Linked DNA regions of Neodiprion lecontei. The protein of the gene in region 1 purifies or fractionates together with the protein of each later gene. This does not show direct contact. Links are inferred from orthologs where the notes say so. Each region holds a gene or a part of one and is shown on either strand. Other genes may lie near its edges.

Region 1 (6,980 bases):
AACCCCTGCCATTCCAATCACCAACGTACCTTGTACCATCATCATATTTGTAAGCACCGTTCTTGGCCACACCACCTGCTGGATACATTTTGCTATCATATTCAGATTAGGTTTCTAAATTTGTGAAAAATTTTGTTGATAGGGCAATGATGAATAGTTTAAATATAAATATTTTTTTTACAGTTCTACTTTGTAGACGGGGAATAATTTTTTTAAAAATATAACAGACGAAATATCGGGCACCTCTTACCGTCAACCATTGTATCGGCACACTAAACACATTAAATGTGGCTTCCACAAGTAATCCAATTACTCCAGATCAATGCCTGATTCAATTAGGTATAGTTGGAGCAGATTGTTATTTTATAGATTCTGTACCTACGAAGTTTTATTGAAAATTGTAAAGAAATATAATGAAAACACAAATCTATCGTTTAACCATGCCACCTGATTTCAACCGTAAAAAATAGTTACTTTATTAACTGACATAATAAACGCATACTTGAGAACAATCTCAAATTTTCAGAAATCACATAATTTATTTACATACCTACACTTAATAGGACATTTGTAAAATCGACATGTGCATATATTCCATATCTTTAGCAAGTACCTACTTCTCTTCAACACACTGTACAACCTTTATGTTAAAACATGAGACAGTATCAATATTTTTTTATTCTTAAAAACTTTTGGGCGTTTTAGCAATACTTCAAATGCAAAGTACTCCAGTTAAATATGCAACAGGAAATCACTTTGATTTGCGGTTGTTAGAATGAATAAAAATTGTGAAATACTTCAAAGAAGCAATAGGTCATTATTCTATGATTTCATGCAATAAATCATATTATTACGTGATAAGTCTTTCGCCTGTACCTTACGGACGATTGAAGGTAACATTGGATACTATAGTACAGATCAATATCTATAGAATTTCCCAAAAATAAAAGACAGTAACGGCAGAAACTGTCTGAAATCACACATTGGCATCAGCTACCACGATAAAGGTCTTCAGGGAAGACTCGCCTGAGGAAGCAATTTTCATTGCATTCTATCTAGACTGTTCAGGCAAAGTTCAATTTTCCTTTCTTAAATTCATTTGTGTAAATGAAACTATAATAATGAATTGAACAATCGGCTATTCCGTCTGAGTTAAGATTGTTTCGGTTCTCCTGGTGCCCCAACAAGATACCAGCGAGTTCTTGCTTTCACAGCGATTGACCTGACCAAACGTTTTCGATCGTCGATCGCCACAGCTAATCGCTCCAAGACATCCGTTTTAAAAGGTAGAATCAAGACAGTCGGGTAGTTTGCATAATGCAACAAACATTCCAATGCAGCAGTTCTGACTTTCTGAAAAATAAAACAATAGTCGAAGTTTGAAAACTAGCATGGATTTTAGGTAAAACTGGATACTTGTATTCAGGGTAAGGTACTCTGATGAAACCCATTGGAATAAGATCAAATTTTTTTCAAGTTAAAACTTAAGCACAATTATGAAAATTTTCTGCGAATCATTATTACCATTTCCCTACGTTTCGTCAGACTCAGTAATTTGGGAATAAAGTGTTGTGCTTGCTCATGGAAGATCTTGTGCCCTGTGTCCAGCAAAACTTTCAGGGTCACTAGTGTCGACAGAATTAACTCTGAGCTGTCCAGTGCCATGGATTCAATTAGGAGTGGGATAAGCTTCAAAAAAAAAAAGATTCAAACACATTGAAATAACAGTATGATGTATCGCAGTGTAAATTCATTAATTATCACGCGTGTGATAAATTGGTAAACTCTATAATCATTATTGTTATATTAAAATTAAATAAAATATATATTACCGGCTCTAAATGCATGAGCAATAGTTCCATTGGAACTTCCTCGATTAAATGTGTTAGAGCCATTAGGTAGTTTTCTCTTGATTGTGCATCAAAGTCGTTGTTTTTTTGAATGACATTCTGAAATATCCTCTGTTTGTAGAATAATTTAACATTGCAGAAGTTCTCTTCAGTCACAGTATCCTCAAACCTATCAGATAGAGTTTTAAAACCATTTGCAACATTGTGACCCATTTCCATGTCCTTCAGCAAATTTATGTGCTATAAGAAACATAAAATCTTGATTAGTACATAATTTTCATTCTCCGATGTAGAAAATATGCAATATATCATGTGACATAAAATGGTACAAAGTAAAGTTGAATTACGTCTTCTTATACTTACGAAATCAAGATACTCTTGAGAATTTTGGCTTCCTCTGACAACCAAAGCTTTCGTCAGCCACGTATTCAATAAGATGGCTGACTCTTTGAGCTCGGTATTCGAATCGTGTTCCAAAATGTTTTTGATACGGTCCCTCAGCATATTTAAAACTATTAGGAAATTTTTGTCTTCGGTTTGTTTATTTATCAATACTGATATCAATTTACTTGATACTTCTTTAGAACTCGAACTGACGCTGTTGATTGCAAGGTGTAATAGATTTTTTAACAAGTTTACCTTATTAGCAATATCAACATTTCTTTGCAATGGTGTTAAAAGTCCTTCCAATACAATCACATTGCTTTCGGAAAGTTTTTCACTAAGAATTGAAACATATTTATTTACAATTTGTTGTTGGTCCTTCACATCCAACTTTCTAACTATAGATCGACAAATCGATGCAATTAAATTTAATTTTTGAGTGGAGCAGCCACTTGTATCTGCTGATACCAATAACTCAACAATGTTACAATTTTTATACAAAAAATGTTGTATACTGAATGTATCGCTTCTCCCAGCTACAAGTTTTCGCAAACAACACAGTGCTGCGATACTCTTTTCCAATTTATTAGACATAGCTACCACTACTACATTAGGTAGGATTTGTGGACCTAATTCTGGTATTTTTGCTACAGCACATAAGGCTTGCAATCGGTGAGTAAATACCGTATTATCAGTGTTTGCTGGAAATAATTTTAATTCATTAGTCTTATCCAACTGAAGAAATTAATTATAAGAAAAGTGGTGTACGTTAATTTGCTAATGAATATCTCAAGCTTACAGTCATTGATAGCTAGTTGGTTTATAACGGTACCCAGAATTTCGTTTGGATAAATTTTAGCAAAAGTTGACAGACATATGTGGCATGTGTTCTTTAGTTGATTATTTCCATCATCTACTGCCATACAAATTTTTTCATACAGAAGTTTTCTGGCCACGTCACTCAACGACGATTTCAGTATTGCCAATCCAGAGAAAGTCTTCAATTTTAGCTCAATATTATCAGTATTTAAGGCATTCAAGTACAATGTTGGTATATCTGTCCAAGCAAGTTCGGGCACACCTGTAAAATTTGGTAACGTAACAGATTAAAAATTGTGCATTGTTTTACTAAGTTTGATGTGAGCTGAATGCATTGACATACTATTTATTACAAATCTCTGCTCTTCGCATATTGCCATCAAACTATTCAAACTTTCTGTTAAGGTAACTCTATCCGAGTAAGAAGTCTTTGTTGAATATTGACCAAGGCACAATGGTATAAAGGTTTTCAAAACTTGGGCACAAGCTAATTTATTTGCCTTAGCGACTGCTTCCAACAATTTTTCAGCCGGCCAATAAAGGCTCAATTGAACGTCACACAGTGATGATTTTGTATCTGTGATAACTTTTTCGATGAAACTGTCTCGTATTACATCATCTGTGGACAACACTTTAACTAATTCAGTTATAGTTTCTAATCCAGCATTTCTCATCTCAATATCCCCGCCTGGGAAGACTTCTTTTCGTATAATTGGCCATAATTCAGCAAGGTGTGGTTGCAATCTTGAGGCTCCATAGGTAGAAGCACCTTTGCGTAAAAGATACAATGAATCTAGTTTTGCTAGTCTTAAGCTCGAGTCTAATCTCTCGATTATGAGAGGTATGCAAAATTCGGCAAATTCTGGAGAGGCGTAAAGGCAAGGTGCTAGGGCGTACGCCAAATCATCACGAGTAACTGTTTGAGCCTCTGATGCAGACTGTAAAATTGATTGAAAAATTTACAAGATGAAAAAATGTCGAATAATTATAAAACAGGAATTAAAATTTCATACTAACCAAAAATTGAAAATTTCATGATTAGGGCTACTTACGGAATTGAAATCAACTGGGAAATAACAAGCAATAACTTCAAACATTTCCTCTGTCAAATGGCCCAATGGAAATTCTTGAATAAAATTTGGAAGCATGTCAAATAACAGCATCAAATTTCTTGGATCTCGTTCGCCGTCTATAGATGAAATTACTCCGTATATAAAATCAGGCCCCATGGAACGTAAGGCATCTTTTCTATTTTGTAGGAGTGTTTGGAATATCAAATATATCAACTTTCGAATAGGCTGCAGCTGTGACTGACAATGTACATGCTGAAACATGAGGTTCAACAATCTAGCAGGCGAATCTTGAGGTAAACGGCTCATCTGTACCTGTAACATTTTGAAAGTAGTGAAAATTAGTAATCACTGGTTCATATTGTGAATTATAGAGGAAAATTGATGACTGAGAATTGATATTTATTTTAAAACATAATATTGAATATAAGAGCTCACGATAGTCAGGACACCCTGTAAAACCGATGGAATAACTTCATGCTGATCCTTCATCCGATCACAGTAAAAATTTGTGATAAAATTTAGCTCATTTTCATTTAGAAAATCTTTCGACAAGTGCTTCAGGGTTGTTGACAACGCAAGCGTTCCCTGAGCTCTCGAAGTAACATTTTTGTCAGTGAGAAACGGAGCGAGTTCCTCAACGAAAATCACAAGCTTCAATTTTCCATATTCTATATCTGAAAATATGAAATGAGAGATGTATCGATCGCAGAGTAGATACTTCGCAGGTGAAAACATGAGGTTTGATCGACGGATAATTATTTACTGAACAAAATATATGGGACCAACGAAAAATTGAATATTCTTCATGTCAGCTGATCATTTTGAAAATTTTGATGGAATGCATTTTCCGAAATGAAGACAGAGCGATAGAGACAGAAGATAACCTCAGTCCCAACAAGTTTGTTTTGCCTGATATTTCAAGGTCAGCAGGCGCGTCATTAGTCAAGTAATTATGATAATGCATACCTGAGGCTATATCTTGACATTCCTTAATCAAGTCGTTATCGTTCTTTAAAGCTGCCGATAACTTCTCGGTGAGTGAGGAGCTCGCTGAAACCTCCATATTTCACCCTGAATTTTTCAATACCGTGAGTGATCAGTGTGTAGAGTTACCAACACAAAAGGCGATCGCCGAATAATTACGCACTATTCGACATCGCGGCATGGCCCTGTAAAATATCGTGCACAGTTGATGATTTTTAGAATGCGTACATGAATACGAAAACATCTACAAATTCTTAAATATGACGTCTAATTTATCAAAGTCCTTGACGATTCAAGTTTCTATTGATATCTTATGAATTCTAATAATAACATTACATGCGAAAAATCGCCGCAGGTTATTATCTCTGACTTCCAGCATATACATATGCGTATGAGGAAACCTTCGTGAAGATAAAATAGAAAGAGAGAGAAAAAAAGAAACGTCTGAAGTTGAAAAACAATTAATTACTTCGTGATTTCAATATAATAATACAGTCACCCCCTAACCACGATTTATTTTGTCATTCTTTAAATTATCGTGCTTTCTTTTTACATCCACATATATAATTTTCTTTTGATAACTGTTAAATCTTAACGGGTTAAATTTAATAAACAGAAAGCAGTAATTGTAGCCTATTAAATTTAACGACACGGCCAGTCGAAGGTCCGCGTTTCTACGGAGTAATTTACAATCGTGTTTTAAAAAAAAACTATTCTTTTCGCTTATTTTTATTATTATTTATTACTATCATCTTGTGCAACCCTCCCGTCACGTCGTCGTCTCTCTTCATAGACCATATACGTCATTCACTGGAAACAACCCAGGCAGGCGTCCTAGGAGTTCGAGCTGCAAGAGATTTTTTAACAAGGTTTTGTGTGATGGCAGCGCGCGTTGTGGCGGAATGATAAAATAGGTAAAGATGGACGAAAATGGCATGTAAGGTGTTGGTAAATTCCAGTGAAATGTTTGGTTATTTTCGCCGCCTAGGATGGGAGGCTGCATAGGCATAACAAGGGCTAGGAACGGCTCTGTTGACGACACGTCGGGCAACTCTACGAGGACAAATTCAGGTGAGAAACAATATTTTCAACAAACACCAACTAACCTTGGAAATCATGTACACCTAATATGGGTCACCGCATGAAAACTGTAATTTATTCAAAATGCAATTTAGGACTCGATCGCGGTCTCTTACGTTCACATTTTTTTTTTTTTTTAATTTTCAATTTTTTTCCCCAATCCAGAATACCGACTCGTAACATTATGTATATTGCGCGCGATGAAATCACGAAGGAATAAAAAAAAGAAGCAGAAAGAAAGTTTGAAAATAAAAAAAAATTTCGATACTCCTCATTTACGATGTAGCTTTCGTTTTTAGTCACTTCTACCTGTGATTTTAATTTCTATTCGCTGATGTAGGTACATGTTCGAACCTTGTCAAGCTATGACCTAAATAGTAAAACAAATGTCAGACCTCGATCCACGCTACCAAACATAGCCTCAATGGCTCAATAGATTTTCTTTCAATAAAAAGACTAAGTGTTGAACTATTTTTTATGCCAGATTGAAACCTATTCACAAAGCTGCAAGTTCTTTTATTTTTTATTGTTGTATTAGTTATTCCAATCAATAGATCGAGCTATTTGTTGATATCTGTTAAAAAATACAGGTATATAATCATTATTTTACGATGTTTTTCAGCCTATCTGTATTCACCTCAGATAAAATTGTAAAGCAAATGTCAAACCTCGTGCTTTGCGTAATTTAAAAAAAGTTTTGCGTGGTATTTGTAATCCTTCTTTCTGTCACAGATGAAGTTAAAAATATTAACTATGCCATTTATTTTTACAATTTCATGCAGGTAATTCA
Region 2 (4,971 bases), on another chromosome or scaffold:
TGTATAGAAATCTTACTCGATTGATGATGCATAAAACGGAAGTAACACAGAGCACCCAGTACGATTTATGATTTTAATAAATATTAGCTTGTATTGAGAATTGAATTTCATTTAAAATGGTTTGTTGAAGAATGCAAAGGGCTTTACTAGATTGAAATCTTTGTTTTCGTGAAATGTGGAATTGATTGGTATTCATTTCAGAAAATTTTGATTGAAAATTAAAATTAATGAATTGCAAAATATGTGGTTACATAAAACAAATGGTCCAATTCGAAAAAATGGAAAGCAATACCGTAAAGTAAGATGTAATAACATTTCAAATAACAGATTTCAAAGTATGAACTTATTTGGATATGGAAAAATAGAGAGAGAAAAATGGCATAATTCTTTCGAAGTTGCATCGACGTGATTACCTTATATTATGGATATATTCATTAATCAGAATTGTAATCAGGGATGTGAAACATAAAAGAGAATGATATTAACTTTTTTCCGAACTAATGCAACATACCTGTATATAACTGGAAGTTAATGTTAGTAACGTGATAATAACACTATGTAGAATAGATGAGAAACCGAAAAATATTAGTAATTTCGCATAATACACACAAACAGTACAATTTTAATTCTTAGATAGATTTTTTGAGTAACACTTAATAACACTCGAACTCAAAACTTGTTGTTCTGGCATGAAATATGTGTCGATTTACTTCAGTATTGTACCACATATTTATTTCATATGATTTTAATTTGTAAATATATTTCAAATGATAAAGATGTTTATAAATATTAATATATCGTAATTGCTAATACAAATCATCCAATTTTGTTCTTTACCTTATACCAATTTGGAGAATTACCTACTTAGTTATTAGTTGTGCCATTCTTGTGGAACATTTCACCACTTAATCGCAAGTGCCGTATTCATCTTCTCTATTTCATGATACTGCGTATGGAGGAAAGCAGCGGATTTGTCGGAGTGCTCGCCTTCAAGCCACGTAGTGTACAAACTTAATGTAACACAATTTTCTTCTGGTTTACTTAAAGGAAGACTGTGATAAACTGTTTCAAGTTTAGCGGCCAATTCACGTGGCTGTAAACCATCCTGAGGTCGTATTTGGGCTCCACCGTTGAGGCAGCCTATAAAGATGAGAAAAAAACCAAGTTTTAAGAAACGAATATTGAAATATGCTTTGTCGCTTGAATGAGACTTACCTGAAGGACAGGCCATAACTTCAACATAGTGATACGGAGACTTCCCTCTTTTAAGTTTCTGAACGAGGTTTTGAATGTTTTTAAAGCCATTGGCAATAGCGAACCTGAGTAAAATTTTTCCATCTTTTTCCAAAACTGCCTCCTTGAAATCTGGATTTCTTAGATTTTTAAATTCAACAGTAGTATTGGCTTCTTGGAAAAGATGATAAGCGGCGTACTGGAATATGAAATGAGCATAGCCACCTGATCCCGAGCCTTGATGTCCCCAAAGTATTTTGTCAGATTGTTCTTTGTTGTATGCACCAAAAGGTCGGTCTATTTCACCACTTTCAACATCGTTCAATGACACTCCCTGACTAATCAACATGTTTTCCAATTCAACTGAAAAAAAACAAAATTCATAATCACGAACAATGAAGATGAATAAATTCACAATAATGCATCTCGACACGTTTTACTAATATTGCATACTTGACGTAATCACGCAGTCGACGTCTCTGGTCTGCTTAAGTTCATTGTAAAAATCTTCTCGAGAGGCTTCCAATTTTTTATCATAACAGGGCATCACGCTGATGTGATATACTCGCTCAGGAGGTAGCCCTTTGTACTTGGTCAAATGGTATTTGACCAAAGAACCCATTACTTGTTGTGGCGATTTTGTCACACTTATATAGGGCAGTATGAAATTTCCGTGAGTCTTTTCCGCGTAACAAACCCAGCCTAATTGTACAAAGAAAGAAATTACCTGGATGGATTATAATAATACACAACTGTCGGAATTTTTAGTCACAGTATTCGGTAAAAAATAAGCTATACCTGGACAAGACGAAGCCAGCATCGGTATTTGACCTTTGACATTATCCTGAGAAGACTTATATCTTTCAATAAATTCTCTCGCTGATTCCAGCAGAGAAAAATCATCTGCTGCAGTCATGTCCAATATCATATCTGCTCCCAATTGACGAAAATGACCAGCTAATTTCCGGGTAGCGCTTTCTGGATCCAAACCATAGCGCTCGGCTAGCGACAAAACTGGCTGTACTGATAAACTCACTACGATGAATCTCGCCTCTTCTTGTTTTCCATTCTGTGAAACATCAAAACGTTGTCATTAATTTGAGAATAGATTGTGACCAACTTTTTATCGACTCTGCCTCCATTCGAGAAACAAGGAGTACGATGTAGATATAATGCATTACCTCTCGAAAGTTCTGATTTTCCTGTAAGACCCTCAGAAGTTCCTCTTGGCTCTGCTGAGTAACAAGAACGCTTTCGGCCGATGTTATACAGCCGCTGCAAGCTAAGCAGTCGGCTAAAGTGATCTCGACTTTCTGAAGTTTTTCCGAAGTACCAGACTGTGATAAAGAAATAAAAATAATTAATTGGGTGAAACATGCTCGGTTCAGTTTCGGAAGTGTGAAAAGGTATTAGTTCTGACTATATAAAAGGACAGCATTTATAATATTCATTATTAACAGACGAACCTCATTTAATTCTACATAAGCTCCGTCTTCCTGTATTTTTATTTTAGCCCCTGTCTTAGCCTTCGACTTTGGTATTTCAATTGGTTTTATACACTCCTGTAAAACAAATTCGAATTTAGCGCCTATTCTTATACGCTCGAGAAACTGGACATGCAAATACAAAAGTTTAGGTGATATTCTACGGGAATAACATATTTTTAAACTTACCAGTGACGGAGTTATGAAATCGTCTAAATCCGTCAATTGCAGAGCACCACTAAATCGTGATGCCATGTTTTAAAACTTTATATTGAAATCAGTCGGAATATCAGGTGTATACTTCGCAATACATCAATGACTATCACTTGCGCACACGACAAACTGCGTGATTTTCCCAGTGTACTAGCGTCAAGCTAATGTTACTTATACAATACAGTAATAGCTCGGTAATCGCGGGTGGCGCCACTTTACACTTTTAGAAGCAACAATGACCAACAGTGGGAAAGAGCGTTTTCGAATCCATCTGGTGGCAAATAATACACATTGCAACTCTGAATACAATTCATCTGGATTCGCATTGATTTGAGTTTTGTAAAAGAAATTTGTCATTATATTTTGAAATCTACACAGACGGTAAAACTCTTGCAATAAAATAAACTGCAACTGTAGTCAATAACAGCTTAGACGCAACACAATTGCTTGGCTCTTTTTGACCATGAATTACGAGCACTATTAATTGTATTTTGCTTACGAGATAAAATTAAGGAATTTGATTGTTTTAAATTATAGATATATTACGAGTTCTCGAGCGTTGACATTCCATATACCTGTATATGAACAACAATCGAAACGGACAATATTAAAACACAGCGTGCGATGTCGCGATTGCGCCGGCGCCTATTCTTTCACCATTCACGATGACGAAATCGAGTGCATAGATACGTGGGGGGTGATTCTTCCTCCCTGTTGCCTTGGGAAGTAAATATTTTGCCTCCTCCCTTTCTGCCAAATGCCCAACGCCCCGTTTCCTACTTGACATCTGATTTCACGACTCCGCATGAGTCACGAGCGCAATAATTTTGCCCCAATTTCGCCTGCTTCACGGCAATTTTCTCTGCATCAGTGTAACACAGGTGTTTCGTCGTGTGTTGCCGCACATACAATTAATAGTGTAATGCAATTATAACTACGATTGAGATTGAATTATAAAAATAAACAACAGAACGATGACGGAAGTCAAGAAGGACGATGTCGTCAAAATACTTCATACGTATCCCTTGTGTCGCGTGAGTTTCAATCCCCATTCAATTACAAATATCTAAACGTAATTATAATGTACATTAAATTTTTCTCGAAAATAAAAATAAACAAATTCGAATCATGTATTCGAGCAATTGATTTCTTCTCTAATTTTGATGCAATATCTTTGCATCTTTTTGTGTAATTAGAAATTAAGATTAACAAATGAACTTAGAATCAAGTGTATAATATTGAATTCAAATTTAATTTTCACAGTCGTTCAATAAATAAACATTTTCAGTGGAAATTGAAGTTAATGGGGCATTCTTGTATTTTTATTTTTGTTGTTTATTGTTTGTTCCAACAGAAATGTGACATGAGCGACGAGATGAAACAGGAAGCGATGGAGTTATGCGTAACGGCAGCCGAGAAGTACGCGGATAATTACGAGAGTGCTTCGAAAATGATTAAGGAAACGATGGACAAAAAATTTGGAGCATCCTGGCACACGGTAGTGGGTGAAGGATACGGATTCGAGATTACCTATCAGCTAAAACACCTTCTGTACATGTATTGCGCAGGAAATTTAGCTATTTGTATATGGAAATCCGCGTAGCCATAACATTAAAGTCTATTTTGATAACGGTATACTAATGCTATCAGCTAGACAAAAAAGCTACTTCACTATCCTAATCACAAGCAATTGATAAAAAATGTTTCTAAATGTGCTAACTCTGTGAGATGAGTATTGGCAATATATTTAAAGATGTATTGACGTTGTCATTCGTGTAAATGGTTTCACTATAGATTATAAATATTCTCGTTCCTATTTTTTCAACAGATTAATACCGATCTTAATTGGTTTTCATATAGGTACTTTATATGTTGCAATATCGTGGTTTGGAAAATTTTTACGATCGATAATCTTTACTATAAAAATTGACGATAAATCGATGTTCGAATGACTGATTAATAATAGTATAAGTACAAACAGACTCTATGGAATTTGATTCTGAATCTTTGATTTAAATTTCTGTGAGTATGTAAATACACA
Region 3 (4,564 bases), on another chromosome or scaffold:
CGAATTACACTGCGTTATACAACAGGCATATATACATATATTATGATATTCATATTACGTATGAATATTACGTTTGTGCTTCGGTAATATTCCAGTAAAGACGTAATACGGAGAATTTCAACAATTATTGCCACAACCCTTTGGAAACACAATTTCTTGTCGTCCGAATGGTTTTTCTTCTTGCTGATGTCATACTACAGATTTTTACATCCCCGAATTTAGGATATTTCAGGTTTTGAAATTCTGCTCTTTCGAATTTAGACGTAATACAAGAAAAATATAAATCTTTCTAATGTCTGGAAAAAACTTCAATTTTGAAATAGTTAATGTATTTTTATTTAAAAGTCAGATTTTGTTATTAACAGAATTTTAGAATCATATATCTGTATCTGAAATGAACGAAAGGTGTGTCAATTCTTATAAACAACTATCGCTTCTACACGATCTTATTTTGCTTTTAAGGGAGGTTCAAAACCATCTGTATAATACCTGTACATATTTATTTTTAGCCGATTCTAAAACATTTTTGTGCACAAAAATGATGTTGACGTTGCAATATTGCAAGTATTAAATTTTACAACTATAATTTGAAATTAAATTGTCTCTTTTTGCAGAGCTATTATACATATAATAAATATTATATAGTTGATCTCACACGTATTAAAGTAAAAAAAGCGAACAATGTTGTGAGATGACTCGCATTTAATAATTCTATTAAACGTAATATTAGCTTGGGAATCTTGAATGAAAAAATCTATTTTCAATTTAAACTTGAGTATACGATTGAAGCCTAGAATGGATCTATTAACGTAATCGTGAAACATATTTTCTGGCACGAGAATTCGATATTTTGATTTTTTCTTTTAAATCCGTATTAGATTATACTCAGATCATGTTAATCCTCGAAAAAATGTCGTACCACCGCGGTAGCTTCATTCGATGAAATATTAGAATCCAGTGATACCTATTATTTTCGAGAATTGTTTCTCAGTTCATAAAATATATAAACACATGAATGATGTAATAAATTCCTTTATTATTTTTAAACAAAAATTCCAAGTTTCAACTTAACGACGAATGCTATTAGATTCGTAATCCATCAAGGCATGTCTTGCGATTAATTCATAGGTTAAAAATAGGTTCAATTGAATCGTCCTATCGCCCCTAAATTTTGAGTTATATATGCGGGTAATAACACAAAAAAGAAATCACGAAAAACACTTGTCCGGTGGATTAGATCACATCTCGATATATCGTTGCAAATACTGAACCCGAATCCGTAGTCAGAATCGCTCCGTCACCCCAAATACTTCGGTGTTCAAATTATAGTGGAATACCCCATACACGACTCAAAATCTGTGTGTAACGGAACAATTCTGACCCCAGATTCGTATTCCTCATGTTTACACAAGTACGATCGTCTAGTCCGCCGAACAAGTCGCGTTATTCGCGTGCCTGTGCTACTCTCTTTCCGTTGCGTGGCGTTCGAAATTCGAAACTTGTCGTGTGTCCCGCGCCGAGTGTCGAGGAATCGATTCTCCCGAACGACGGTCGAACGTCGAAGCGTCGAGTGCCGAGCGAAAGTCGGCCCCGCTAAGCTCCGGCTATTTGTGTCCTCTAACCTCAATGTTTACCTTCGGCGTTCGCCGACAAACCAGCAGATAGGTCATCACCGGGCGATGATCATCGTTCTGGCAGCGATATTCATCATCGTCTGTGTCTACTCAGGATCCCTCGCCTTCGTAAGACGGCGCCTCGATCCTCCGTCACCGTGAGTATTCGCTAAAATCTTGACGTTTGAGGTTAGATTCGCACCCCGTATCGCTCCCCCCTATCTTATCTGTGTATATTATCGCTCCATCTCTCATCGTCATCGTCGCCACTCGTGGCCTTACGGCGAGCTTGCTGCTCGCATTATCAGCCCGTGTCACTCCGTTCCTCTCGTTTGGCCTTATCCGCGTGCATCAGTCAACGACACATCGAGTCGCGTGGTCGCGCGGAGTCAGAGAGACGCATGCGTAGCTTTATTTTGCTTCATATGTGTACGCCACGGATTTCTCCTGTACACGAGGTCGTGGCGTGTGTCATGGCAACGTCCACCTATTGGTGCTTACGTTTAACCGCGCATTCGTGGAACATTTTTGAACGAGGGCGGAGTAACGCTTGAAATCGTTAATTAAAATTCATTGTGTATTTGCTGTTTTGCATTCGCCATTTAGATCAGATTTGTACGTGCATTTTCAATTTTTTTTTATTCGATATTGTGTAAGATTTAGGTACTGCATTCAGCGTCGGTCACGTGTCGAATATCTCTGTTCAAATAGATCGTACAATTTTATAAAAATTTTCGAAAAAGAACGATTCCCTCTGATTCGACTAAATTATGTTGGAATTGCAAAATCTTCGTTTAATGTAACGAGCTCTGAAACTGTAATGTAATGTTTGCTTGTATCCTATCTGGAGCGTAGCGTAAGAAATTTCATGCACATACCACCGACAGTATTTGTTAAGCGCTGAATTAAATATGAATAATTTGAAAGCCGCAGAGTCCTGGTTGGTTAGTAGTAGAAAAACCCTGATAATAATATTTACAGTATACAATACCATTCGACATTTGATAATTCATTTCGCATACCTATTTTACAAATTTCATTTTAAGCTAGAATTGAAGTAAACATATCTATTTGTCCGTTTAAACGACATTTTTAGAAGCATTTTACGCTTCAATTTACCAATTATGAGTAATTAAATGTTATGTTATGGTCGATTTCCAGTCCAACGCATCGTTAGAATTGTTGACAATATTTTTCCTGTATTCATTCACCGTGAAATTACACACAGTTATTGAGGAGAAACCAAAATAGAATGATTTGAAAAATTAAAAAAGTCGTTAACGCGTAATTCAATCATTCAAAGAAAAAAAGAAAGGAAAAAAAAATAAGGTTGGAGTCAGTAAGGTTCACTTGAAAGAATATATTCAAATTGTAATATTTATTTAATATTTCGCTATTTTAGAGTAATTAATTCAGGAGATGTGTTTTCAAAATAGAATTATGCAATCTTTTATTACGGTTTTTGTAGTCAGCTGATACTTTTCTGATGGAATGACAATTTTTCCTAAAAATAAATTGTGCCATCAACGTTACGAACTTCAATGGCGTCAAAAAAAGGAATTACGAATTAGACTGACTTATGAGAATTATTTTCAAATCATGAAACACCTTCAAAAATATTTTTGATCCAAAAAGACTGTAATTTTGATTTAATATCTCTGACCACCCCTACTTTTTAACTCATTTTATTGAGATAAATTCAAATGCGTTTCTGGATCAAGATGCCGTAATATTTGGATATTTAAACACATTAATTGAGAGGAACAATATTGTTTGAAAAAATTTCAGCGGTCAGTAATTTGAGATGAATCCGGTTTCTCAGTAAATTTTTTTCACGCAGCGAAAGAGCGTTTTTGGGTGAAAAATACAGACTTTGTAAAGAATTCGTAGTTGAAAAACGAATAAATTTATTTATAAATGTTAGAAAAATGTGGAAAACAAGTGAGGAATAATACGCGATTCCATTATCACTTCGTGACTACTGGAACGAAATTAGTTGCCGCAATTAGTCGCGTAAGAAGAACAACGAAACGAACTTCCATTGCTTGGGGAATTCCGAAATGAAATTGAACCAACTTCTGACAGGTTAAAGCCCCAGTTTTTCCTTGTCAACCCTTTTTTCACTCCGTATTGCCTCAGATCGACATATGGCAAGCTACTCCGGTGTCAAATGTATCCTACAACTCGAATTCAGCAGTATCGAGCATGTGTGAAAGGGACAACTGCATGCGATGGAATTGCGGTGTAGAAATATAACGATCACTTTATGCACCTATATTCCATCGGAACTTGTCGTCTTGCGAGTGCACAGTGAAATATACGACACGCGGTGCAGTCCATTCAACGACGTTGTAAAGAAAAATGAGCCCGCGACACAGCTGGCAGAGGATGTAGCGTGTCGAGAAATGCCATGTGCAGCGCGAAACGCCGAAACGTTCGTCTCGATTATCGTCGTCTTAGAGTGTCTTCTTGTACATCTTCCTAATTTTTTTCATTTTCCTTACCTCCGCTTCCCGTGTACGTACGCGGCATTTGTCAAGTACTTACCCTAATTCATGTAGAAAAGGCTTTCCGCTGTTATTATAAAGCATCGCTCGTTTTCAGGTGCAGGACTTTTATTGCGACACCACACGAGACATCTTATATATTGTGCACTCTTTTTACTGTACCTATGAATGAAGATTTGAATCCAAGTTGAAGGTGGGAAAGAAATAACCTAGAATTTTATTTATGAAGATACTGCGGAGTTTTGTTCTTGGAGAAAATTTACAGCTTTGAAAATGCTCAATGAATCCGCCGGCGTGCTTGACGCGGAGCTTGCGTCATTAAAAATTTTAGAGTCGAGTCTAAGTTCTGTACTTGCGCACCTGTTACTCGACTTTCTTCCAAAGTTTCCAGAACTCCAGAAGTTTCTACTCCCTCGCGAAACCCTTTTACATATTCTTGTTTGT
Region 4 (7,636 bases), on another chromosome or scaffold:
TGTTGAGTTGAATTGAGCGGATTTGAAGGCCAGGGTAAGACGCCCTTTCATGCGTGTACAATGTGTTTGTACCAAGCATTTTGACGTGGTAATGATGAAGTAAAAAATACTCTGAATAATGAACATGAATACCTGTACTCGGAATACCTGTTTAAATTAGCTGAACTACATCAATGCCGAGGGGTAGGCCATATTTTTATCTATGGTATTAGTGAATGATTCATGAAAAATAAATGGACAAGTTTGATGCGGTTTAAATATGGATAACTTAAATAATCAAATTATGTGGTCGCCAAGCTACGACCCATGCGCGTGTGCGACAGTTGGGTACAGTCGAAAGAAAAAAGTCTGGGATAATGGCGCCGAATTTTCAGTTGCTTCTTCATCCTACCAATGCGGTAAAATCTCTACTCTTTATTTCGTATACTTTGTAAGAAGCTGAATCCTCTGAAGGACTTCTGCGAAACAATTCAATTAATATAATTTATCAACTCACTATGAGACATAATGATTTGCCTGAAAGACGTCGGGATCTCTGCTGAACACACAGTTACCGCACCACGATTGTCGAAGACGCCGGATAGTCGTCGAATACTATCGCAACAACTCCCACCAACGGCCACAGCGTGATTGGCTCGAATTATACGTTATCGTCAACCCGATACATCCATGTATGAAATGGGGTGATACCCCCTGCCGAGAAAATATATGTATGATTAATTTTTATTTACTGACAGGCCAAATTTTATACTATAATCACAGGTCTGCGTCTGATTTTTTTTTTTTGGAAACAATCGCGTTAGCCCGATTAATTCATAGCCCCTGAAATCTCAACATGACTCGTTTGACCTTACATTTGTATCGCATTACTCAAAGAAACGTATTGATAAATTTACAGAATCGTGGGGTAGTGATACGTTTTCGGTTGATGTAATCATGTCTGAAATTTCGGGAGCAAAATTATTATATATGCGCTCCTATTAAAACTTGAGATTAAGAAAATCATTAATTGTTTCCAATCTAACAATAAGTAAAACTTGAATTTATCCTGTAGTTGTATTCGACAATTATACAACTGTAATAATATTTATACAACGGAAATTAAAGCTCTTGAACTATAATAATTCCAAAATTCAGAATATTTCAATCTCTCCTCGTGAATGGAAATTTTTTTTTGCAAATTTCATGATGAATTTGAATTACCCCGGATTTTCAGAACAACTGATTACCCAAAAAATTGCTCGAACGAAATTTGGGTAAAAGAAATCAACAACTTTTCCAAAAATTTTCAATGATTATAAGTTACCTTTAAATATAGCATACTTGTATATTCCTCCGCGTAAAAACTATATTGCCTTGATAGCCCATAATTAAACCAGGGAAGAAATGTCTAAAGATAATTAAAATCAGAAAACAACGTATATACTTAATTTACGAGCTGTAAATCTACATTTCATTTGTTCACAACACAATAATAAAGGGTCGCAGATCAGTAGTGTTGTATAATGAAATGTTTGTCAAGTTTCGATCGTTGCGGGATTGCTTCATTGATTTAGTTTCCTGCGTACATGTGACAGCTGGCGATAATTGTCCTTACGTGTAGTATAAAAGGAGATAAATAATATAATACGCACGACGATGAAGGAGGTTGGCGCGAGATGCCCCTCCACTCAAAAACTACTTCCCATTGGTCTTTACGGATCATTCTAACCCACGCGAGCGCTTGGCGTGCACGTTCGTTTTGGCGCTTTGGTAACTGCATCGTATACGCTAAAATTTTGTGAGTATATGAATTAAACTATTCACTCATGCATTAGCGAGTAAGAAATATTGCTTCTGCGTCAAATTGGGCTGATTTTCCACAGCTAATTTATGAGCAAATACCGACACTCGAATTTGTGCGAAAGTTATATTTATGTCGCAGCACGAATTCGACACGCGATTCGGCAACAGGTGTCCATTGCATGTTCTGTACCGTCTCATACAAAAGTATGATCTCAATCATTTGATTTTCGCATAACCTAATCAATTCCGTTCTGTTTTATCTAATATGTAAGAAATACCAATATTATATTTCTATTTCGCATTGTGTTTTGGTATATTTCTGCAATAGAAAATATACTGTATAAGGCAGAGAGAGTAAATGTTCACCTTGCAGAATAATCAAGTACGCCATATAGCATGGACAAATTTTAGTTTTTTTCGTGCGCCCGTGCCGTAACCGATGGTTTCGACTCGCATTTTTATAAATTTAATAATTATTAGTTTACAACGTCCGACTTGGGTTACCATAATATGAATGTTAATAATACTTTCCACGTCACATGGGTGGCTTTAACCTTACGGATTTCGAACCACGTGGGCGTTGGGTGTGCTTGTCATTAATTACATCATGTCTAGAGCCGATATCTACTGTTACTAATTTACAGCTTCAGATAATCAACTTAATCGTTTATAGCTTAATACTTTATCGTACAGCGGACGCATAATTACGCACGTTATACGCAATCTGTAACCACTGTACGCGATTACGTAGCAATTGTGTTATAATCATAATGATGATAATAATAATTTCATCATTGTTCGAACTAGAACTGTCGCAGTCGTTGTCATTAGAATTTAGAAACAGATTGACGTAAAATCACGCAACTGATGACAATTATGCATATCACTTCAAGTATCAGTTAATATTACAATCATGACTGTTAGTGACAATGTTCAATTCTTGTTATATATGTTGCGAAAATTTCTATACTATAATTAGTGGTAATTAGTAATTTAAGAAGAAACTTTAATCATAAGGTAGGTGAGGATAACAAATGCTGGAACACTATCTGGACTACATGTGTCGTCAGTAGAATATTATTGTATATAAAATGATATTGTGAAATTGCAAGAAATTATAAACACGTATGTGATAAAAAATAAAATAGCAAAGATGCCTTTGCAGAGGTCAAGAAAATACACAAGTTGCTTGATAATGGGGCGGGTTAATTCACCATCACTAGGGGGTCTCGTTATCAGAATGGAATGTACCAACGCTTCAAGTTGTGATTTTGCAACTGCTTTTTATGCATTCCGCATTATCAAAGATTCTGTTTGCCACTTACAGGCTATATATGACTTATTTTCTTGCAAATTTATATTTCAATTAATTTATTTGGCACTTGCGCATGGTCAGTTAAATTGCATGGAAATAGTAAAATTTTAGCCGGATAAATAAGAATTTTAGGGAAAGGCACAAGTTAAAGTAGCAACTTAAATATGAAACAGTAAAATGTGTCAAATTACATTAATGATAAAGAAAATATGAATGTCTACTCATTCAATAATTGATTTTTGAAAAATTGATCTTATTCATTTTCTAATATGTATGTGCAGTAAGTTTGATGAGATGTGATCAAATAATTATAAAGTACATCTACAGCCAAATCTTTCGAAATTTTAACTCTCAAAATTATTCAAAAAACTTTGAAGATGTTTGTCAACAATAACAAGATAAATTTCCAATACTTGATAACTCTAATGAATTTATTGAACCTACGCACTTTCCTGTTTTTTAATAATTCTTTTATTACGCAAAGCTGTGGTTTATATTCGAGGCAGTTCAAGCTGTTTATCTTTCGACTTTGATTCCTCTGTTTACAACTATGTGGGAATTACGACATTACATAGCAAATTATGCAATTCCTGTTCAACATTGTCAACATTAACTTTGTGCTAGTAAATTTAAATGTGGCAAAGGTCTTATACTGATCAATTACGTCAGAAATAATACTTTCGCAACTCACTATGCGCATGATAATATCAAAAGCGGATTGATCATTTCATTCACAGACACAAAATTCACGATATTTAATTCTTCATTCACAGAAACATACATTAAATATGTCCTGCAATGGGCCGCAAGACGATTGCACTAAGGCAATGTCTAGGCTTGCTGTGCAGACTAGACAAACAAAAAGACCTCACAGTAAAGGTGAAACACGTGGACAAAAAACTTCTGGATTAACACACGAGTGTGGTGTGTTTGGATGCATTGCTGCTGGGGATTGGCCATCACAAGTTGACGTGGCACAAGTGATTTGTTTAGGTAAATTTTTTATCTAGAATGACGTGAGCTGCAATGCTAATTACGCCCTGAATTATTTCTGACCGTGGATAAGACCGTGGAAACATCTTAAACGTACTAAACACTCAAATAATATTTAATAATTTTGATGTGCTAATTGAGTTCTTCTTTGTAACAGGACTTGTAGCCTTGCAGCATCGAGGTCAGGAAAGTGCCGGCATTGTGACGAGTAAGGGCCTTTGCGCAAAATCATTTCATGTCCACAAGGGAATGGGAATGATTAGTAATATTTTCAATGACGAAAATATCAGAAGATTGCGAGGAAATCTGGGAATAGGTCACACGAGGTACAGTACAAGCGCGGCAAGTGAAGAAGTTAATTGTCAGCCTTTTGTTGTTCACACAGCTCATGGAGCACTGGCTGTTGCACACAATGGAGAGCTTGTAAATACGGAATCCCTCAGAAAAATGGTAGGCTTCAATTTTTCCCTGAAATTGCACCACTATTAGTTTAATGTAAGATTAATAACTTCATTTTGATTTCCAATATTCGCAGAATTTATCACTCAAGCTTCCAAGAGTATTAAGCAATTTACTGATAAATTAATCACAGTGTTGAATTACGTTTTCTTTCTTTTTTTTTTTTATCACAGGTACTCAGTCGAGGAGTTGGATTATCCACACATTCTGACTCAGAATTAATTACACAAGCATTGTGTCTCAATCCTCCTGAAGGCGAAATTAGTGGACCAGACTGGCCAGCGCGGATTAAACACCTTATGCAATTAGCTCCCCTATCATATTCTTTGGTTATTATGCATAGGGACAGAATCTACGGAGTGAGAGATCCGTATGGCAATCGACCTCTGTGCCTGGGAAAAATTGTCCCCATCGGTAATCTTGGTGGGTGGTGGTGTAGAATGCAAGTGGTTTATTGTAGATATTTATTCGAACATTGTCTCGTAATTTAACACTAAACGTCCTGGCACTTTAGACTGTTGATATATTAATCATTTTAATAGCAATTTTCATATTTTGAAATGGCGTGTATTTTTTAACGGAAGAAAAAAATGTTCGTCAGATTGTTTTGTTATATTCGAGTTTTTTGAAATATTCCTTAAGTTCGACCGGATACAAATGTCTAACAAATACCTCCATAGTCTTGTCATATGTTGAAGTAGATTACATTAAATTACACGAAAACTTCAGTGCAGAGATTAAATAAAGCAATTAACCTACTATATTGATTTCTAGTATTTGTTTTGAGCTTTTTTTGTAAAATATCTGTATAGAGAACTGAAACTAGAGAGCATGCAAAATTCGCAATATCACTTTTCATGTTTGTACCATTTACTAAAAAGAAGTGTTTAATTTATAGAGAATTTTCCTGATCCTACTGCAGATTATCATTTTTCTTGCAGAGTATTCAGTTTTATCAATTTCAAATTTGCGCTACAAATAATTTACTTCGTTGTTAATTGACACAACGATAATGTATCATGAAACTCTTCATTGTATTTCTAATACGTGTAAATAAGAAATATTAATTTACTTTTCCTTCAACAGCTAATGAATCTGATGATGAGGACGAGGCTGATGGTTGGGTCATATCATCCGAGTCTTGTGGCTTTCTTAGTATTGGTGCAAGATACGTCCGGGAAGTTTTTCCAGGGGAAATTGTTGAATTAACCCGTGAAGGAATTAAAACAATTGACATAATAGAACGACCGGATAAAAAGCCACAAGCATTTTGTATATTTGAATACGTGTATTTTGCACGGAGCGACAGTATTTTTGAAGGTGAATAATTTTTTTCATATTCCTTCGTTTTTTGCAATCATCAAGAATTCATAATTTGAAATTTCTCTTATTCTTTTATTCCAGGTCAAATGGTATATTCCGTTAGGATGCAGTGTGGAAAAGTATTAGCCCTGGAATCTCCAGTAGATGCAGACATAGTTAGCTCAGTCCCAGAATCAGGCACAGCAGCTGCGCACGGATATGCCAGACAGGTGAATAGTGATTCAAACAATTTTGTATATCATCCATGAAGCCTTAGTGGTTTTGAATCCATTTCTTGAAAATATCGATATTTGTTTTTCAGTCAATGATACCCTTTGCTGAGGTTTTGTGTAAAAACAGATATGTTGGTCGTACTTTCATTCAGCCAAGCACAAGACTGAGACAATTAGGAGTGGCTAAGAAATTTGGTGCACTATCTGCAAATGTTAAAGGAAAGAAACTTATATTAATTGATGACTCGATTGTTAGAGGAAACACAATTGGCCCGATTATCAAACTACTCCGAGATGCTGGTGTTAAGGAGGTATAATTGGCATATTATATATATATGTGTTAATAAGATTGTTTATATTAGCCTGTAAACAACTGGATAAATGTAAACTTGGGAACATTTTTTGCAGGTTCATATTAAAATCGCGTCTCCACCTCTCAAATATCCTTGTTACATGGGTATCAATATACCGACACGAGAAGAATTAATCGCAAATAAATTGGATAGTATAAAATTGGCTAAACATGTTGGTGCAGATAGCTTGACTTATTTATCAGTTAAAGGGCTTGTTCAAGCAGTTAGGCATGGCATGGATAACCGAGATTGCAGTTATATCGGACATTGCACTGCATGCTTGACGGGTGAATATCCGGATGAATTACCTGGTGACTTGGACTGGTAGATACTGGCACCGAAAAATTACATATACAATATTTTCGACCGATTTGATAAAATTCTTTGAAAGTTATTTCGCTTCAATAACATTTTCGATAATTTGTCAATTTCATAATTTACATATGACCAAAAATTGAATAATGTTTCTCGTTTGGATCTTTGATACAGCAGAGCCCAGGATTTTGATAATCATTAAGCAAGCAGATGTAACACGCTGCGTAAAATATATCATTTAGAATGTAGATAAAATTGACTATTTAATTTAATTGTAGAATTAAGAAAGATACATTGTCATACTGTAGTGATCTCATTCGATCTGATTGAATGTACTGTTTTGTATCAATTATTCTGCGCTATGATATTAGCAACCAGAGGCCTTTATGTAACATACACATGTTTACTAATACATTGTAAATTACTTCTAGAACCATACTTTTGTAAACTTTGTGATTACGTTTAATGTTACGTAATTTGTACTCCATAATTTGTATATTACAAAAATGAAAAAATATATTACATCATTTGTTAGTGATATGATTCTTGTTTAAATAAGATACATTTACCCTTATACTTATACGCACACCAAAACACTACGTCGTGCTTTGAAAAATATGTATAATTATTAACAATTTCTCTGAAAAGTAATTGTCCAGTATCAACTGCGAGAATTTGCGAGATTAGAGAGCGAGTTTGATTTGAGTCGATGAGGAACGACTAGAATTGATGCCAATGCATTTATCTATTACTTGAAGAACGCGACAGAATAATTAGTTGCGAAAGAGCCCATATGTCGTAATACTTTTGAATTCAGATTTTCCTTACGAAATACTTCTGAAACTATTTTTACTACCATTACAATCGACATATTCACAACT

What was found.
Region 2: the proteins of MMS19 nucleotide excision repair protein homolog (region 1) and probable cytosolic Fe-S cluster assembly factor CPIJ010948 purify together in Homo sapiens (affinity purification with mass spectrometry; 3 studies listed by BioGRID and IntAct, with this or other methods). This does not show direct contact. The link is inferred for Neodiprion lecontei from reciprocal best matches to the Homo sapiens genes MMS19 and CIAO3.
Region 3: the proteins of MMS19 nucleotide excision repair protein homolog (region 1) and Fanconi anemia group J protein purify together in Homo sapiens (affinity purification with western blotting; 3 studies listed by BioGRID and IntAct, with this or other methods). This does not show direct contact. The link is inferred for Neodiprion lecontei from reciprocal best matches to the Homo sapiens genes MMS19 and BRIP1.
Region 4: the proteins of MMS19 nucleotide excision repair protein homolog (region 1) and amidophosphoribosyltransferase purify together in Homo sapiens (affinity purification with mass spectrometry; 3 studies listed by BioGRID and IntAct, with this or other methods). This does not show direct contact. The link is inferred for Neodiprion lecontei from reciprocal best matches to the Homo sapiens genes MMS19 and PPAT.

Annotation. Positions count from the first base shown.
Region 1 is NC_060265.1:27,433,458-27,440,437, forward strand, and holds MMS19 nucleotide excision repair protein homolog, read right to left. Parts: upstream 5,232-6,980; 5' UTR 5,190-5,231; coding exon 5,093-5,189; intron 4,801-5,092; coding exon 4,562-4,800; intron 4,439-4,561; coding exon 4,106-4,438; intron 3,992-4,105; coding exon 3,397-3,991; intron 3,316-3,396; coding exon 3,034-3,315; intron 2,936-3,033; coding exon 2,214-2,935; intron 2,091-2,213; coding exon 1,833-2,090; intron 1,690-1,832; coding exon 1,525-1,689; intron 1,354-1,524; coding exon 1,153-1,353; 3' UTR 518-1,152; downstream 1-517. Other genes in the region: MORN repeat-containing protein 4 homolog, read right to left, coding at 1-78, 251-260; ubiquitin domain-containing protein 1, read left to right, coding at 6,100-6,181, 6,973-6,980. UniProt on the Homo sapiens protein: Key component of the cytosolic iron-sulfur protein assembly (CIA) complex, a multiprotein complex that mediates the incorporation of iron-sulfur cluster into apoproteins specifically involved in DNA metabolism and genomic integrity.
Region 2 is NC_060264.1:4,193,974-4,198,944, reverse strand, and holds probable cytosolic Fe-S cluster assembly factor CPIJ010948, read right to left. Parts: upstream 3,104-4,971; 5' UTR 2,973-3,103; coding exon 2,907-2,972; intron 2,796-2,906; coding exon 2,700-2,795; intron 2,571-2,699; coding exon 2,415-2,570; intron 2,303-2,414; coding exon 2,032-2,302; intron 1,936-2,031; coding exon 1,687-1,935; intron 1,597-1,686; coding exon 1,216-1,596; intron 1,141-1,215; coding exon 899-1,140; 3' UTR 502-898; downstream 1-501. Other genes in the region: dynein axonemal light chain 4, read left to right, coding at 3,905-3,964, 4,285-4,533.
Region 3 is NC_060262.1:26,772,818-26,777,381, reverse strand, and holds the start of Fanconi anemia group J protein, read left to right. Parts: upstream 1-1,556; 5' UTR 1,557-1,679; coding exon 1,680-1,771; intron 1,772-4,564. UniProt on the Homo sapiens protein: DNA-dependent ATPase and 5'-3' DNA helicase required for the maintenance of chromosomal stability. Acts late in the Fanconi anemia pathway, after FANCD2 ubiquitination.
Region 4 is NC_060262.1:24,778,990-24,786,625, forward strand, and holds amidophosphoribosyltransferase, read left to right. Parts: upstream 1-1,624; 5' UTR 1,625-1,780; intron 1,781-3,873; 5' UTR 3,874-3,888; coding exon 3,889-4,093; intron 4,094-4,250; coding exon 4,251-4,543; intron 4,544-4,725; coding exon 4,726-4,975; intron 4,976-5,638; coding exon 5,639-5,872; intron 5,873-5,956; coding exon 5,957-6,084; intron 6,085-6,176; coding exon 6,177-6,398; intron 6,399-6,495; coding exon 6,496-6,768; 3' UTR 6,769-7,293; downstream 7,294-7,636. Other genes in the region: multifunctional protein ADE2, read right to left, coding at 497-506. UniProt on the Homo sapiens protein: Catalyzes the formation of phosphoribosylamine from phosphoribosylpyrophosphate (PRPP) and glutamine.